Linked DNA regions of Nothobranchius furzeri. The protein of the gene in region 1 purifies or fractionates together with the protein of each later gene. This does not show direct contact. Links are inferred from orthologs where the notes say so. Each region holds a gene or a part of one and is shown on either strand. Other genes may lie near its edges.

Region 1 (4,253 bases):
TTGAGGTGGGGTGGGCAATATAAGGTAGAAACTATATAAAATTGGGTAATGATAGTTTTTGGCTATATCGCAATACCGCGATAACACATGACGTCACTAAGATGAGCACCCTGCTGACAATGGGACAACAGAATGGCGGTGACTGCAAGCATGGAGTGGGCGGAGGAGGAGGCCTATATGCCTCAAGTGGCATATATTTGCCACATGAGGATATCTAAAAGCATGTCATTTTGACATATATAAACAGAGGAAAAAATATATCGCAATATATATCGTTACTGCACATGCTTCAGATTATATCACAATACAGATTTGAGGCCATATCGCCCAGCCCTATATTGAGGCTAAATTAGTTTCTGTAAAATAAACCAAACACACAGGAGAAGATTTAAAAACAAACATGAATGTGATTTAACAACAAAAGTGTTCATTTTAAGCAAAGCACGACACCAGTGAAACTTCCTCTTAAAGCTGAATAAATTAACAGTTTTCGCACAGCTTCAAATTGAAAAACAAGTACACACCTTGATTAAATTATTGTATTTCTAATCAGCTAACAGACAGGTCTGCATAAAGCTACATTTTGCATATCCTTTGAAGAAGATTGTGAAGGTCTTCTGGAAAATGTACCCAATTGTTTAGGGCTGGACCATCAAATGTTCTATACAATTGAAAACAGGCATTAAGGAATCTCACAGACCAGATTTAAACGTAACCATTTGGGCGCCAGTTTTTTTTCAAGATCATAATTAATTTTGACTCAAGCTGAACGATTGACTGCATATGCAATTAAATTGCGATGTGACTATTTTCTAATCACAAAGACTGCGATTTGACTGGCAGCGAGTGGTTAGCACAATGCTAATATCATGGAAAAACCCACAGGGATGCCAATTCTTTTTTGTTTCCTTAGTTGAAAATAATCATGAATTAAATCGCAATTGCAATATCGAAGAAAAAAACTTGCAATTAGATTACTTTCCAGAAACACTCAGCCCTAATTTTGACATGACAATTTCAAAAGGTTGTGGCTTGGAAATAGAGATAAAGGTGAACTGTAAGAGAAAAATCTTCAGTAAGACTTAAGTTTGTGTTGGGAGCAAATTCACTCATTTAATTTGCATATTATGACTTTACCAGGCTAGCCTGGCCTGCCAGACTCCTCTGTTTAATTCTGCACAGAGAAGGGGTCTGGGAACTCTCATTATTATTTTTTAACCGTGTCCCGTCTGGCTGTGAAGCAAACAGAATTGATGTCTGAATGCTGGTAACAAGCCTTACAGATTTACTCTCAGGTGGATCATCAAAGCGTCTGCTTCTAATGTCATGCCTGATACTTAAAACTTTGTTATTGTTTTTAAATGCTTTGTAATTCCGACCAAACATGGAGACAGAGGTGAAAGAGAAAGGAAAAGACAAAAGGTGGGAAGAGAGGGGGAAGGGGGTCCACAAAAATAAACAATAATGAACAAGAGTCTGCTTCTAGACCTGCAGAAAGAGGCAAGAAAAAAAAAACTAAAAATTATGGGACACAACAACAATACAAGATCAAGCTATCACTGCGTCAACTTGATGAAGAAATATATAATCAACATTGTTGATTATATACACTCACTGATGGTAAAAAGTAGTTATGTCCCTCCTTCCTTTATTTTGAAAGGGAAAAAAACTGACATTCCTCACAGCCATCTAGATATGAAATATGTTTCAGTAAAACCGTCCTTCCAAAATGACTGAAATGTTGACTCTTTTGAGATTTTCTCACTGTAAAATGCTCACTTTATTCTTACATACTGCACCTGTGAAGGGTACCTGGGATGCAAAATCTAAATAGTGAAAGGAGCTTTAGTTTCGTACCCTTCTTGCCGCAGTAGATGAACTGTCCAGTGTGAATTCCCTCAGCAGCGATGAAGAGCTCTGTCCTTTTCTTGAACCGGTATGGGTCACGGAAAGCCACTTTGGCAAGGGGAGCACCACGGCCAGGGTCATGGATGATATCCTGAGAGGATCAGGTATAAAACTTCACACCAGCCTCACTCTACAAGACCAAAACCAGTTCTGAAGCATCACCCACCTTCACAATCCCCTTGATGTAACCATGGCGTTCAGCGAAGTCAATGTGACGGAGTTTAGCAGCACCTTTCCTGTGCTTAACGTGGGCTCTGAACACAGAGCCTGCACCTTTTCTCTGTCCCCTGATCACACGTCCCATCGTGTTCTGAAACAGACAGCAGAGTACTTCAGGGCCACATTTAATTGGAATTTTACAAATCAATGCTTTGCAAGGCTAACAACGCTCACCCTGTCATTTTTAAACACTCTTAAACTAATAGTCAATTTTACATAAACGTTTGAGGTATTGGGACAAAAACATTAAGATTTTGACAGAGGGAATGTTAGAAAAACTATTATATATTTCCGCTGTTAGGGCCATATGAAAGCAGGTTTAACTTCACATGTCCACAACATCTTTTACGGTGTTAGCTTAGTAGCTAATACCGCTAACACCGTTCATTAAACAGTGAGCGAAGATTTACGTGTAGTCTTTTAATTTACAATCTTATTTCTCCATCGCCTTGATTAAAGTACCGTACATCTTAAAAACACAAATTGGTGAAGCACAGTAGCCGGCCTTTTAGTCGCTAACAGCGCTACCACTCCGCCATGTCACCAAGCACTTAAAATAGTTTAATATAGCTTTTGACAAGCCAACTGTTAAAATGCTACCTAAATTAAATATGTGAACATTTTGTGTACACATATAAGTATTAGTTTGATGTGGATGACACAGAAAAGTCATGATTAACAAGCGATGAAACGGTGAGAAGCAGAAAATAGCTGTCGTACCTAAACTCCGCTGACGGAAAGAGGAAGCACAAAGAAACATCGCACGTTTTCTTCCGGGGAAACTACTAAGGGAATGATGGGAAATGTATTCTTTAAAGGCGCGAACTAGACAGATGGTCAATTTAATTCAGAATGCAGTTGTATGGAACTCAAAAAATATTCAAAATGCTGTTTAATTCTGATTAGAGAAGGCCAGGATCCCAACTGTTGTCTGCAATTATTCAATTTTATTCAAAAGTCACTCAGGTTTGTAGACAACAATTCTGAGCTTTGTTGGTGCTTGGTGACAAAACCTTTAAAATCATTACTATCGTTTTTACAATAATAAAGTCTTTGTCTTTTTCTTATTTCGTTTACCTAAAAACACAATTCAATTTATATCTATGTAACAGTGTTTACACAATGGTTGTGTGCAGTGATAAATATCATCTGTCAGATCTGGTACCAGATCAGCAGTTTTGTTAATAAATTCTTGTTTGCTACTACCTAAATGTTTTCTTTATAATTGTAATTTATTAATAAAACACCATATTATATTTGTTTTATACAGAACGTGAAACTACATAAAACCGTCAGACTGCCAAAAAAGACAACAGTTCATATATGTGAAGCCACATCTGTTTGTATAAATGTGGAATTAGTCTGTATTTTTCCTTAGCTGCTATGTAAATTAATTAATTAATTAATTAATTAATTAATTAATTAATTAATTAATTAATTAATTAATTAATTAATTCATTCATTCATTCAAAATGTTGCTTGGTGTCTTTTCAGTAAAGTTCTTAAATTTTATTTTGCCCTATATTTCATAAAAATCAAGAGCTTTTGAGACTTTGATATCAGTTGATATCTTTGCATTTTATTTTACATTTACTTTGGAAATTCAAACACATTTTCTCCGAAAAGTGTTGATTTTGGGACTACAGGACTACAGCCACTAAGACTACAACCGTAAATTCATTCTGACCAATCAAAATCATCATTGTCAATGTGCTAACATAACTTTTACGGATGTGGTATCGTAACTTCTGCAAGTCTTACGTTCAGCCAATCATCTACTGTGACGTAATTTGCAGATGCGGTACCCCGAGCCGATCTGGCTGCACGAGCAGATCTGGTACTGACACCAGCCAGCCACTAAAAGGAGTTTGGTTTGTAAGTGAGAACGCACCCTCCAAAAATGGGAACGCCCTCTTCTTATTCGCTCCTGAAATGTTACTTCACCTTCGATATTTCAAAATAAGATACCTGACCTCTACTCAGGACGCTTTGGATCGGTGGGCAGAATACTTCGAAGACCTCCTTAATCCCACCGTCACATCTTCCAGTGAGGAAGCAGAGTCTGGGGACTTTGAGTTGGGCTCTCAAATCTCTGGTGCTGAGGTCACTGAGGTGGTTAAAAAGCT
Region 2 (3,508 bases), on another chromosome or scaffold:
CCAAAAAAACCACCCTATAACGCCTAGTTAGAACTAAAAGATCGTATCTTGATTTTTAAAGACTAAAGCAGAAATTTGTTAATTATACAACCAATTGCCAATACAGAAGTCTTGTTTCCATAATTTATAGAAGACCATTTTGATTTGCTGCCTAAAAATGACAAAGTCTGATAGATATTTAAAAATGACCTCTTGTAAGGTTTTATTTCAGGTGAAAATGTTGAGAGGTCAAAAACCAGTCAACGTAGTCTAAACATTTTATGTTACAGAGAAATGAATTCATCTGCGACTCCTTTAGCCACCAAACCAATGCAGCTTTATAGGATTAGACTATGAAAGACGCAACACAACAAAACTTACCTAACAAAATAAAAACAAAAATATGGTTACAGGTGTAATTTCTTCTTACAAAAGGTAAAACGAAATTTTAATTTACACAGCTTCCTTTTCACAGCAAAACCGCTTCATTTTACTCCCCGTGGAAAAGATAGCGTAAAATGACGAGAGGTGCAGGTTTGCATTTGGAGCATACTGTTTTTACGCGTAGCACTAAAAGTTGAAACGGTCTGAAGTACCATTCTGGCACAGGAGGGTAAAGTAGGTGGTGAAGGGTCTAAACATGGGGCTTAAAAAGGCCCCTTTACAGATAAATATACCAATGATGCTTTCTGGAATGTCCAAAAGCTCTGAAACGGATGAAACCAGAGTCTGTTCAAAACACAACTACATCCAGGATTTAGTCATCAAACTTGATTTTCTTCCCCTGGGGTTTTGATCCAAACCCGCCTCCACCTCGCCCACCTAAAGGGAACACAAATCCAACAGTTCAATACCCAGCAAGTAACACAAAGCTGAAATACTCAAGTCCAAGTACCATCATGACCATCGCTTACCCCCAAAGCCACCTCGTCCGCCTCCTCGACCACCCCTTCCTCCTCCTCTGCCACCCCCTCGGCCTCCAAACCCGCCGCGGCCTCCTCTGAACCCGCCACGACCTCCACCACCACCCCCTCTGCCTCCACGGAAGCCGCCTTCACCCTTGGGCCTGGCGTAATCCAGGGTCACCCTGCTGCCGTCTATTTCACCGTCTTCCATCGCCTCCTTTGCTGCCTTGCAGTCGTTCTCGTTGTCAAAGTCCACAAAGCCAAAGCTGTTGAAGAATTGCTCAGTTAGAACAGCAGCTAACGCTCTTTAATGAGCAGAATTCTGTTAATGCAGAAAAAATAAATTATTCTATTTCAGTTCGTGTTAGCGTGTGAAATATGAAATTGTCTCACATCAGACATGGACAGATTCCACTCAGGAAGCCGTCTGTTTAACTGCGACTTCACTCTACTTCTCAAGTGAACCCACAATATGCCACAGAGACAAAGCGACGCTCACGAGAAGCTCTGAGACACGGAGCTCTCCTCGTACGTACCCTTTAGACGAACCGGTGTCCCTGTCTGTGACTATCCTGGCTCCTACGGCGCCATCGAAGGAATCCCTGAGGGTCTGATCTGTGGTGTCCTCAGAGAGACCCTTCACAAAAAGAGTCTTTGTTGGACCTGATGGAGGAAAGCACAAGAAGTATCACGATATGAACATAAAGACCAGCTTTCACACGACGAGGTCACTAATGAGACCTGATCAGTACTTGACTATCTTTTGAATCTTCACAGAGGATCGGGAGATCACTGGCTCATCACATCTGGTCACAACTATGAGAGATAGTATTAGTATTGGAGATGTACCGGAGTTTCCCCTGCCGCCGCCACCGCCATCTCTTCCCCCGCTGTTCTGGCTGTACTCCAGCCGGATGGTCCTGCCTTCAATTTCTGTATTGTTTAGGTTCTCCAGAGCTTCCTTGGCGTCTTCAGTGCTTTCAAACTCAATAAAGGCAAACCTAGAGACAGAAGCAGAAAAAAAGAGAAACATTAATAAAAGACAATAGCAGTTTTTACATTTACAATTTTACTTGGTCACTTGTTGCACAGCGGACATGGACAAAACCCGCCTGCAGACAGGGCTAAGTCTGTTTCGACTGTGCTTTGGCTCTGCTTCTCGTGCGAATCCGTGCATAATCACCGATAGGATTAAGAGGAGCTCATGAGAAGGTTGTTTTGGATCACCCAACAGATCCACAAAGTTAGCCAAACTAATACTCACCCTTTAGGCCTGCCGTCTCTCTGTGGAATCCTGATGGATGCAGCTTTCTCAAAGGTGGACTGCAACACTTCTTCTGTGGCGCTGAAGGCGAGATTATTCACCACCAGTGTCTTGTTGGCGGCGCCTGACGCTACACAGCAAGAGAAGGGAAGAAGAACGCAATCAGACACAATCGTATTCTAGAAACACATCACGAAGATATAAAGACAGAAACATGAGATGTTTAATACCACGAGAAGCTTACTTGATACTCTGCTTCCTTTCTGGCTTTTCTCTCCAACATAGTCGACCATGATTGACCTTCCCTGAACTTCAGCACCCTGAGCCTCCCCCATCATCTTCTCTGCTTCAGCCTCGGTTTTGAACTCAATGTAGGCAATACTGTAAAAACAGTGTTTATTAGAGCAGATCTGATTAAAGGAGAATGTGGAGGAACTCTGGAATTACACGCCACATCTCCCCGTAAACCAACATTTCTGAAGTAATCAGGATCGCTCATCTTCCTCTTACCCTCTGTTGGAACCGTTTTGGCCTTGAGGTAACCGCACATCAACAGCATCTTCAAAAACCTCCTTCAGGTCATCAACCGTAGCAGAGAAGGAAAGGTTTTTCACAAACAACGTCCGGGCGTCCCTCTCTGTAGGACACAATGGAAATAAACTTAGGAACAATTTCTGGGCAGCCAAGTAAGATGCCGACAGCTCACAAGTATTTATCACCAATTCAGTAACATCATGACGTCATCATTCACCTTTCTTGCCCTCCTGTGCGTTTTCTTTGCTGCGAGCCTTGTCCATCCTCAACTCCAGACCCATGAACTTCTTGCCATTGAGCTCCAGTGCTTTGTTGAGGTCTTCCTCGGATGCAAAGTCCACATAGCCAAATTTCCTAGACGAAGTAAACCACAACAATTATTACTGACAGTTTAGGAAAAAATAAATAAAAAATAAAAATCTGCCCAAGGCCTACTTTGATCCCCCAAGTCGAACATCCACGATCTCCAGACTGTTTTTGGTGAAGAATTTTCTCAGCCCATCCTTGAGTTCATCGAAGTCTTTGCTGGAGTTTAGATTTCCGATAAAAAGGCTGAAACCTGTTGATAAGAAAATTGTGTCATTGTCAGACTGCATCAGAGTTGTGATGGTTTGTAATCACGATGAAAATTCATAAACATGTCTTACCTTCACCATCCGACTTTGCTTTTTTAGCAGGAGTCTCCTGCTTTTTGGTCTCTGCCTTCCTCTTTTGAGGTTTTGCTGGAGGTTCTGAGGAGAAAAGGTTACAGCTCTCATAACAAGGAAAGCAGAGTCTGACGCTCTGATAATCTCACATATTAAAACTTAATTTTTGAGTCAAGTTC

Evidence for each region.
Region 2: the proteins of rpl8 (region 1) and ncl purify together in Homo sapiens (affinity purification with mass spectrometry; 3 studies listed by BioGRID and IntAct, with this or other methods). This does not show direct contact. The link is inferred for Nothobranchius furzeri from reciprocal best matches to the Homo sapiens genes RPL8 and NCL.

The regions. Positions count from the first base shown.
Region 1 is NC_091754.1:29,838,120-29,842,372, forward strand, and holds the start of rpl8 (large ribosomal subunit protein uL2), read right to left. Parts: upstream 2,929-4,253; 5' UTR 2,848-2,928; intron 2,219-2,847; 5' UTR 2,213-2,218; coding exon 2,075-2,212; intron 2,000-2,074; coding exon 1,858-1,999; intron 1-1,857. UniProt on the Homo sapiens protein: Component of the large ribosomal subunit. The ribosome is a large ribonucleoprotein complex responsible for the synthesis of proteins in the cell.
Region 2 is NC_091748.1:62,941,540-62,945,047, forward strand, and holds the end of ncl (nucleolin), read right to left. Parts: intron 3,414-3,508; coding exon 3,330-3,413; intron 3,242-3,329; coding exon 3,118-3,241; intron 3,037-3,117; coding exon 2,900-3,036; intron 2,786-2,899; coding exon 2,659-2,785; intron 2,530-2,658; coding exon 2,393-2,529; intron 2,279-2,392; coding exon 2,149-2,278; intron 2,099-2,148; exon of another isoform or gene 1,964-2,098; intron 1,886-1,963; coding exon 1,734-1,885; intron 1,548-1,733; coding exon 1,421-1,547; intron 1,151-1,420; coding exon 894-1,150; intron 802-893; coding exon 737-801; 3' UTR 578-736; downstream 1-577. UniProt on the Homo sapiens protein: Nucleolin is the major nucleolar protein of growing eukaryotic cells. It is found associated with intranucleolar chromatin and pre-ribosomal particles. It induces chromatin decondensation by binding to histone H1.